3 linked regions of the Bombyx mori genome follow. The protein of the gene in region 1 purifies or fractionates together with the protein of each later gene. This does not show direct contact. Links are inferred from orthologs where the notes say so. Each region holds a gene or a part of one and is shown in the gene's direction. Other genes may lie near its edges.

The links. The genes of interacting proteins can lie anywhere in the genome.
Region 2: the proteins of histone deacetylase 6 (region 1) and lipoamide acyltransferase component of branched-chain alpha-keto acid dehydrogenase complex, mitochondrial purify together in Homo sapiens (affinity purification with mass spectrometry; 3 studies listed by BioGRID and IntAct, with this or other methods). This does not show direct contact. The link is inferred for Bombyx mori from reciprocal best matches to the Homo sapiens genes HDAC6 and DBT.
Region 3: the proteins of histone deacetylase 6 (region 1) and phospholipase A-2-activating protein purify together in Homo sapiens (affinity purification with mass spectrometry; 4 studies listed by BioGRID and IntAct, with this or other methods). This does not show direct contact. The link is inferred for Bombyx mori from reciprocal best matches to the Homo sapiens genes HDAC6 and PLAA.

Annotation. Positions count from the first base shown.
Region 1 is NC_085111.1:17,635,353-17,639,506, forward strand, and holds the start of histone deacetylase 6, read left to right. Parts: upstream 1-1,354; 5' UTR 1,355-1,557; coding exon 1,558-1,560; intron 1,561-1,646; coding exon 1,647-1,784; intron 1,785-4,154.
Region 2 is NC_085128.1:9,592,937-9,596,436, forward strand, and holds part of lipoamide acyltransferase component of branched-chain alpha-keto acid dehydrogenase complex, mitochondrial, read left to right. Parts: intron 1-166; coding exon 167-291; intron 292-1,097; coding exon 1,098-1,337; intron 1,338-2,301; coding exon 2,302-2,568; intron 2,569-2,643; coding exon 2,644-2,772; intron 2,773-3,330; coding exon 3,331-3,402; intron 3,403-3,500. UniProt on the Homo sapiens protein: The branched-chain alpha-keto dehydrogenase complex catalyzes the overall conversion of alpha-keto acids to acyl-CoA and CO(2).
Region 3 is NC_085128.1:4,435,013-4,437,853, forward strand, and holds part of phospholipase A-2-activating protein, read left to right. Parts: intron 1-166; coding exon 167-290; intron 291-1,229; coding exon 1,230-1,290; intron 1,291-1,763; coding exon 1,764-1,889; intron 1,890-2,302; coding exon 2,303-2,448; intron 2,449-2,841. UniProt on the Homo sapiens protein: Plays a role in protein ubiquitination, sorting and degradation through its association with VCP. Involved in ubiquitin-mediated membrane proteins trafficking to late endosomes in an ESCRT-dependent manner, and hence plays a role in synaptic vesicle recycling.

The DNA of each region.
Region 1 (4,154 bases):
GATTTTTAATAATAAACTTTCTGTAAGAAATGAAAATAGTTACACAGGCTTACGAAACGCTAACGAAGAAAAAAGTATTGGAGCCAAGTTATGTCTAAAGAGAATTCAAAACAGAGTTTCTCAATGTCTAATCGTCTAATATTCTCATAAAGCTAAAAGTTGCTCTAAATTAATACTACAACGTAAAATAACTCACACCAAGATAAAAAAAAAACGATTTAAAAAATTAAAGCGTTACGACATTTTGAAAACTTATTTTTTTTTTGAGATTGTTTTACGGCCCTGGAATTTTGAAAACTTCAAAGCAGTGTTTCCACTTACGTTTTTTTTACCACATTTTACCCTAGTTTCTTTTGAATTTATCCCTAAAATTTCTTAAACAACTTTCATAAATCCTTGATATAGAAAGCATAAATAAAATACAGAAAATAAACCACAGCATATTATTTAATGTAGGTATATATAATATAAACGCCCCCAGAAGATCATAGATCTATAGGATTAGAATTTTCAAGGAAGTCGACGCATTGCTTTTATATTCTTTTGCTGCACGCAACCTAACACTGTTCGGTTCTAAAATTGAGCAATTGTTTGCTGGCAAAGTTGGGAACTTTCTATGAAGCAAGCCGTTCAGGGTTTCATTAGAAAGCCTATTTCTTTTGTCAGTTTTTACATTTGAGAACACTGAATAATCTTTCCACCTCAGTCTTTGAAGAAGGAACTGCTAGCAAAAGTGAAATGACAATTACAAGGTTTTCGTAAATGAAATTACCATGATAATCTTTCATGGTACATGAAGTACCTGTATATTACAATACAGGTAAGTTCTGGTGACATCAACGAAAATAGGTAAATAAAAATTTGGCGGATTATACTTATTGGGATTCTGGGGAATCCCTAAGAAAAAAGCAGTGGCTTAATCTATGATTTACTTTACTAGAGGGTTACTGTTGAATCAAACCTTCTTTATAGTTTTTATACACAACTCTGTTTTATTCTTTTACTTGTCAACTCGACTTAATGTCATTCTCTCCATAAAATAAAATGTTCATTGTTTTACTTTAATTATCGTTTATTTTAAAATTCACAAGAGTTACTAGTATAGGCTTTGCTTTTTACCCCGAAATATCCTAAATCCTGGTATTTTTTAAATTGTCTTTATCATCCAAAATATCAGCTATTTTTCCCTAAAAAAGGGAGAATTCCTTAAAAGTGGAAGCACTGCTTTAAAGTACGCTAATATTTTTTTTGAGTCAGAACTCGTATCTGCCATCTAGTGGGTTTATTAGTTCATTAAGGCCAAAACGTTTCAAAAATGACCTCGCCGGTTCCTAAAGATGACGCTAGTTGAATGTTCTTTTCCTTTGTATGGGAGTTGCACCCCCCTGCAAATATCGGTCGCCGAATCCAACCTCCAACCGCACTTGACATATATTCCACAAAAACAAACAAATCACTAAAGTTCAATAAAATATTTTGGCTAAAAAATTCAGTTGATAACAATGTATCTTCAGTAAATAAAATAAATGGTTTTAGCAAAACAAAAACGTTAACATAATGGTGAGTCATTATTAATTCAAAATTCGAATAGTACTTATCAGTAGTTGTAGTTTTAGTGTGATTTATGTAATTTATGTATTGAATAGGCTACACCTCCGCCGACGCAGTCTCGTAGATCGGGCGGTGACAGTAAGAAAGTAACGCCGCCAACGTCCAATATAGTGACCAGGAATGGAGCTCGCAAGGCCAAGATTCAAACTCGAGCAATGTCCGCCGCAGCTAAGGTATTTTTATCATTTTACGACTTCATATCAACCGGTATCATGCCCACTCTTCAAACCACAATTCAAGAGCTCAATTACGAGACTAGAACTTTGCTCAGTACCCCCTACACTGAGACAAAATATTCCTAAGCGCTTGAGAATAAATGGAAGGCAATTCAAGAAAGGCCACGTTATATTTAACATGAATTGTTTTCACATTATAAGCACTTCTTAATACTTAAGTATTAAATGACGGAAGGGAAGATCTTCCACCGAGCGGGTGAGTTTGCTCGGTAGACCGACGGTCCGAATGTTGTTATATATGCAAGCTTGTCTTGAAAATGTTGTAAGCGAGATTCAGGCATCTGTCAGTTACCTTGCGTTCTATGATAGCTAGCTGCCACAATTATGTTAGTGCTATGTACCTAGTCAGCATAAATTCTGTCACATGTTTAATGTAAAATAATTAAAACAAGTTTATTCATTATGTAACCATTCATATACCAAAATGAACTTAACAAAACATAGATTCTTATGACACTAAAGTTTATTCAAAATGACCTCCGTGATTTTGAATACAGGCCTTCAATCTGCACGGCCAGTCGTCTATCGCAGCACGAACGAGGTCCATGTCAATATCGGCGGCTGCCTTAATCAAGGATGTATTGAGTGACTCCAAATTGGGATGAGGCTTTGAGCACGCCTTTTCCTCCAAGTGTTGCCATATCTTGTAATCTAACGGATTCAAATCTGGACTGGAGGAGGGCCAGTCTTCGTGCCAGATGAAGTCGTTTTACGCGCCGCCAGCCAGTCTTGTGTGCTCTTCGCTCTATGAGTTGGCGCCGAATCTTGTTGGAATACCCAGTGCCTGTTATTGAACATGGTATGAGAAACAGGTTCCACAAGGTTCGTCAGGACTGTATTTTGATACACAACTGCATTCGTTTTTAAACCTTTCTCACAAAAATGTACCTCTGTTAAGCCCCATTAACAAACTCCCAACCATTCCATGAGCGAGGATGGAAAATGACCTCGTTGGACACGCGGAATACGGTTGCTCGCTTCTTCACTACTGTGTGCGTACACCTTATCATTTTGTTTGTTGTAGCTCTCTTCTACGGTAAAAATTTTTTCATCCGAAAAAAGAATTTCCCGATATTTTTTTCCCGCGTACCGCTTCAACAAAGCGCGGAATATCTTCAGTCTCAGGTCCATTAGACGAGCATTCAAACGATGTCCTGTTTTTCTTCGATATGCCCGAAGCCCTAAGTCTTCATTTAACACCCTTTTCACCGTGGTTCTGCTTAACCCCATCTGAAGGGCCAACAGTTTCTGCTTACGTTTGGGATTTCTTTGAATTCGCGCCTTCACAGCTTTTATCACTGTTGGAGTCCTAACAGACCGAGGGCGACCACTTCTTGACCTGTCATCTACACTAGAGTCTTCATTGTATCGTTTGATGGTACGATAAACGAATCTTTTGGTTATATTCAAAATTTTCAGTTGTTAAAAATTTGAATTGGCGCGTAACCGCAACGATGCAACGCAATAACTGCAACACGGTCTTCTTTAAGCATCCACTCCATATTTAAAAATGAGTAAAATTCTAAAAGTGTACATTTTTATTTTCATGAACAATTCGAAATTCGAATTCAATAAACTTTTTTGTGGCCAGCATTCTAAAAGAAAAGTTTTTACTGTGTGACAATACTTATGACCTGACTAGTTATAATTGAACTTGTAAAAGATCATCTACATAATGATGGCCTGAACAGTCTATGGCATAGCACTTGGTTAAAATGAAAGACAGTTGAAAGATGTGATAAGGAAAATTAATGGACAGTATTGGTGACTACAAATAGTAAAGTATTTTAAATGTCATCAATACGTCTGTTACTGCCATATTATTATGTCGTCATTAGCAACACACACTGGTCATAGTATTTTGCCTTGAAACACTGCACTTTTGGGATGAGATCTTTGACAGCCCCTGGAAATTTTACTGAAATTTAATTGAAAAGTGCAGCATAGGTAGGCCTGCCACAAGATGGGCCGACGACCTGCTAAAGGTTATGGGATTTCTCTGGATGCAGGATGAACAGGACTATTAATAAAATGTTGGGGAAGGCCCATCTACAGCAATGGATGTCTGTGGGCTGATGTTAATGATATCAATAATGTTAAAAAAATTAATCGAAATATTCATGATCATATTTTTTCTACTATATTTTATAACTAATAAAATACTTCATAGTTTCTTTCTGCACAATGAAAATATTTAAAACATGAGCTATGTATACAATCATTAAAATTGCTGTAAACTAAGCAATGCTTACCTACCTTCTAAAAAGGTTTTTTGATGTTAATTGGCTGTACTTAAATACTTAAAAA
Region 2 (3,500 bases), on another chromosome or scaffold:
CCAAAACTACTGATGCTACCTCCAAACTAGTTATTTCTTACGCTGCGCGGCAAAGAATTAAAGGTTGCAGTTTTAGTGAGAATTGATTAGGGTAAACGAAGGTGTGATAAATTTTATTCAAATGTAAAGATTTTCAATATGATCTCGAGAACTTTGTTTATTTCAGGGAAACCCACAGACGTTGCGCCTGATAAGCCTGTTGCTGAAATAGACGCTCCGAAAACGGAACAAAACCAAAAAATTAAAGTATTAACTACTCCGGCGGTGAGAAGAATCGCCGCTCAATTTAAAGTATGTAATTAAGTATATTTATTGTATACATAGATAAATGAAAGAGCATAAGAATAAAGAACTTAAATTAGATTCGTCATAAACACAAATAACGGGTATTTTTTTGGAGATCGGTGACCAGGCGACACGTGTTACACGGTCGAGTGTCATACACTGATTCCAGTTTGGGTTTTAACGACAAAGAGATCTTCCAACAAGCGGGCGAAATTGTTCGGTAGACCGACAGTCCGAATGCTATTTTTTGGACTCTCACCCCTTCACACTTATCATGAATATGTCGTTAACGATATTCAGACATCTGTCAGATGTATTGTGTTTTATGATAGCTACCCGCTACATATCGCACATACGATGCGAAAACGTAACTTATGCAAATTATATAATTTTTCAGGAGAAACGTTGGAAAATTCAACATCTTATTATATAATTCTTATAATAGTTCTGCTGCGCTATAGAAATAAAATGATAATATTTAAACTACAAAACTTCAAAAGCAAACATCTCTCTCGTCTCACTAATAACTATTAAAAAATGTATTTTCTTATACTCAGTTCAGTGTTACACAAATTGCTTAAGTGACTTTATAGCACAGTATGTGCGATATGTATAAAATTCAAAGTGGCTTAATGTTAGCGCGTTCAGAATGCATGAAAAAATATTTAAAATATCGGTTTAATGACGTGGGTATCTATACAACAATATCACTTGATTTAGAACATCCGAAAATATTTGTACATTGAAAACAAAAGGTATTTCAATTTCTTGTCTAAGCATTTCATTATTTTTGTTTTCTTTATTGTTTATAGGTAGACTTGAGTGCCGTTAAAGCAACTGGCAGAAACGGAAGAGTTCTCAAGGAAGACATGTTGTCTCATTTAAACATTAACTCGGATGACTCGAACGAAGTCGTATTACCTGGTAGTGTCAGAGCTGTAGAAATACCAGTTACAAAAGCGCAGGCAAGAGTAGAATTAGCTCTCGAGGATAAAGTTGTCCCTGTTACCGGCTTCCAGAGAGCAATGGTTAAATCTATGACGGAGGCCATGGTGAGTCTTAGCTTATAGTAGCGTAGTGTATAGCAGCGCCATTTCATCTCTTTCTCTAAATATAATTAAAAATAAGAAAAGAAATAAGAATTCACTGGGCAGCAGCGCTCTATATGAATAGATGATTAAACCAGAGTACTATGACCGCCAATTAATGGTTACTGGATGGTTACTGGTAGAGCGTATTTGATACCTGCTCGGGTGGTTAGTACCTTCCTACTTGTTTTTATGACATCTGTTTTGTAATACAACTGAGATTTCGATCAAATCTCACCACATTTCGTTTCAAGGCAGGTGGTAGGCTTCACGTTGCTATGTCAACGGGTACCTGAAAACACTTTACACCAGGTGGACGGTAAGCTCGTGTGTTGGACAAACTATAGTGAAGTGTTCCTTCCACCTATAGTGAAGGTCAAAATAATTTGTCACTCAGCTCTTAAGAGCTGCAGAGTAATAAACGCTCAGATCGCAAAAACCACTACCGTCACTAAAATATTAGAATGTTTCTCTTAATATCCATAATCTCATTTATTTTTCACTGTTTCGCTTCGAGTAGTTCCGATTACTGACTGACTGCGTATCATCCCTGCAACGCTTTTATAGTCGATACCACATCCCTAAAGTTATTGAGAATATTCCACACATCTCTAGTATTGTTTCCGCTATCTGACAATAGATGGCGTTGTACTTCTCGAGCGTTCTAGGTGCTACTAGATCCTTCGATATTCGTTCGACTATTCGGCGATAGATGGCGTTACTCTTACCGGCGTAGCAATATAAAAAAGCTAAGGCCTTACGTATAATACGTAGGGTTTTTGTGTCATCTCGCTAGTGCTTAGAGGCCTTTGCGGTATTCAGCGTCTGCATTAACTTGTTATACAGAAAATCTAAATTAGGGGCCGTCGACCATCAGACATTTGAAATTAAGCAATTCCGCCGCATTCTAATTCATCATTTTTTCCAGAAAATTCCGCACTTTGTATTCAGTGACGAGTACAACGTCACAAAACTGGTTGAATCGCGTGCAGCACTCAAAAAGCAAGCGGAAGAACGTGGGGTTAGACTAACTTACATGCCGATCATCATCAAAGCGGCATCTTTAAGTTTGAGCTATCTACCCATTCTCAACAGTAGTCTCGATAGCTCCTGTGAAAATCTCATTTACAAAGCAAGTCATAACATAGGCGTTGCTATGGATACGCCCAACGGATTAGTCGTACCTGTTATCAAGGTATATAAATATCTTAACTCGTCTTATCTTTAATGTTTGATCCGGTCAAATGGTTATACGTTTCGTTATTTTCAGAACATCCAAATTAAATCAATATTAGAAATTGCACAAGAGTTAAATACATTGCAAGAGAAAGGATCGAAGGGGCAACTTGGATTGAATGATCTCACCGGAGGGACATTTACAATATCAAATATCGGAATTGTGAGTATTGTTATTCATCTCAATATCAAAGTAAATCTATGGTTTATGTCCTAAACTCCTTTGATACATTTCCCGACAATAGAAGCATAATCTATAAAGTACGACAGCACAAAGTTCCTTATTCCGATTCGCCAATATTTTTCTTTTCTTCTCGGCTGTAATGCTTAGATCTATTATTGCAGAAAAGAAATTCAAAGCTTGGCCACATAATAAAGAGTTGTTTATGCATGTATGTAATGCATGTATGCATGTATGCAATATATTTTAAATGGAATCGGACTATATATTTATCATTGCCTGGTATTTGTTCTAGAATATTTAAAGTCTGGCATCGATCCTAAGTCTATGTCAGAAGTTCAGCCATTTAATTAGAATCTCTAATTTTGACAAATCAATATTCGTATAAATTTCTCCAAATAAGAACACTACGCAAAATACAACGAACCGGTCGCGATTCATCGGCATTACAATAAATGTACTTTATTGTATTCCATAATAATGTAATAAAACCTAAGCATATGAAGTGTAATTTTTTTAACAAAATATTTTCGTTTTTAGGTTGGAGGTACTTACACGAAACCGGTGATATTCCCACCGCAAGTTGCAATTGGAGCATTAGGAAAAATACAGGTTAGTAGTGCGTAGCTATATTAATATTTAGTACGTTACTGGGATTGCAAAACGATACACCGCAACAACTTCAATATATCGCACCTTTAGAATTGAAG
Region 3 (2,841 bases), on another chromosome or scaffold:
CTGGGCACCTGATTTAAATTAATTATTCAATTAACGAACCTTGATGTATTACGTATTCATAGTATTATTATTTATTTTAATAATTAATTTATTAACTATTCAATAGAGAAGACAGTTTATGAATCTGTTTTATTTATTTATTTGAATTGATTTTTTATTATTTCAGATTTGATCAGGCGAATATAAAGGCAATATACGATAAACTAAGAGAATTCAACAGTAAAGTCGGCGACGGCCATAACCCGTTATCGGACGAGCAGCTACAGAACGTTGTTAAATTAGGAGAACTGGTGAGTTTCTAGCTTGTTCTACAGAGTTCTAGAGTACAGTATTACCGGCCTGCTTGAGTTGTGTGCAGACGGGTCTATCATCTAAGTCACGGGTTCCCAAACTTATTTTGTCTACTGCCCACTTTGAGAATAAATTATTTTTAGCGCCCCCATTTATTAAAAACCACTATAGCGAGAGATTAAGCGGTTTCTAAGAGTCCCCCTAGATGAAAATACAAATCGCCTCCCAAACCTCTACACAACGCCCCCATAATTTGTCTAGGTCCCTTACCCCCCTTCTTTTGGCTCGCAGCGCTCACAAAGCAGCGTTATCGCCCACTTTGGGAAAGGCTGATCCAAATAATAATAAAGAACTCGTGAGCAATTCACACGTGGTAGAAGTAAAACCTTTAAAAAATTTTCTGCAACATAATGAGACGAATGTAAAATTTCGGGAAGAGGATAATTGTAGGTTTTAGTAATGATCACTAGTGATTCAAAGTTTGATAATTATTTTACATTTTATTCGTATATCTTAATTACATAGATTCATTCAGAATGTATTTAGTACGAATATTAGATACGAAGCAGAAGAGAATACCAAGAATATAAGAAACAATAATGCTTTCTATCTCACTTTGTCCCACTTTAATGATCTTATGAATATATGTGTCTGTCTCTTTTTACTGTCGCTTTTTCGTTTCATCGACTTTCAAATCACAACGATGCTAAAGAAGTTCTCACTGCAATAAAAACAATCTAGATAGAAATCTCAGACAATTGCATAATGCATTTTTACAATTGCAAGCAATTGAGGACTTTGTCTTGTGCCCCGAAATAAATTAGGAAATAGACTTTCTGATATCTATGAAGAGTTCCTCTGCAAATAACAAGAAAATTCCGTATGACGTCATTTAGTAATTTAATAAAGAACTTTTTTTTTATAATTACTTATTTCAGAACAGCACTCACGATCCTGAAACGTTAACGTTATTGAAGAAAATGCTGGAATGGCCGAAAGGTAAAATCTTTTTTTTCTATTGCATTGATGGGTGGACGAGCTCACGGCCCACCTGATGCTAAGTGGTTACCGGAGCCCCATAGACATCTACAACGCAAATGCCACCACCCACCTTGAGATAAGAGTTCTAAGGTCTCAGTATAGTCACAACGGCTGCCCCATCCTACAAACCGAAACGCATTACTGCTTCACGGCAGAAATAGGCGGGGTGGTGGTACCTACCCGTGCGGACTCAGCAGACGTCCTACCACCAGTACAAAGCTGTTAATTCGAAACTAGTGGTAGGAACTTCTATAGAACTGAGACATTAGAACTTATATCTCAAGGTGGGTGGCGCATTTATGTTGTAGATGTCTATGGGATCCAGTAACCACTTAACACCAGTTGGGCTGTGAGCTCGTCCACCCATCTAAGCAATAAAAAATAATAATAATTCGAAACTGGTATCTGATGTGGAACATTGTTGCTTCCAGAGATATTGTTCCCGGTACTGGATGTAACAAGGCTGGCTGTCCGGAACAAACAGATCAACGCACAGATGTTCGACACTAAATACGGACCGAACTTTGTCCAGTATCTGCTCACATTGTTGGCGCCAGGTAACAAACGTCGCGTCCTGATACGTATTCACAAAATTATAATAAGCCCTCTTATAACACGGTACTCTTATAACGCGATTTTAGTTGCTCGTATAACACGGGTATTACCCTATATAACGCGGGGATTTCAAACGTTATACTATTTCTGTGGTGTGATAAGAAATAATATCGTACGAGTTAAAATGATAATTTTTTTAAAATTTTTTTTGTCACCTTCAACGTTCTGTTTTTAAATGAATGTGAGATTTCGACAAATTTCATTTTTTATCACATCTCTATTCACAGTTAACATAATAACACATGCTTTACGCTCTCAGACATTCCTGTAGTGTTCAATAAGCTTAAATAACTTTCAAAATGTTTCAAAATGCTTGCTTATATTGCTAATATTGTACATTTCATGTATTTTACAGACAACCTACCGGCAAACATAATGTTGACAATGCGAGTGCTGGTGAATGCGTTCAGCGACCTCCCCGGAGAGATGCTGGTGCTGGCCGCCAGGGAAACCGTTATGCATTCACTCATATGCCTCACACAACTCAATAACAACACTCAGGTCAGTATGCACTCGGTACGGTTTGATTGTGCCCCTGAGATGTCGCTTCGAAATTCACTTTACAATTGTATAAGCCATTTTGTACTTTGCCACACATGTTTTTTTATTTTTTATTGCTTAGATGGGTGGACGAGCTCACAGCTCACCTGGTGTTAAGTGGTCACTGGAGCCCATAGACATCTACAATGTAAATGCGCCACCCACCTTGAGATATAAGTTTTAAGTTCTCAGTACAGTTACAACGGCTGCCCCACCCTTCAAACCGAAACGCATTACTGCTTCACGGCAGAAATAGGCAGGGCGGTAGTACCTACCCGCGTGGACTCACAAGAGGTCCTACCACTAGTAAATTTTATTTATTAACCACAGGATATGAACTGTATCCTACTTTGA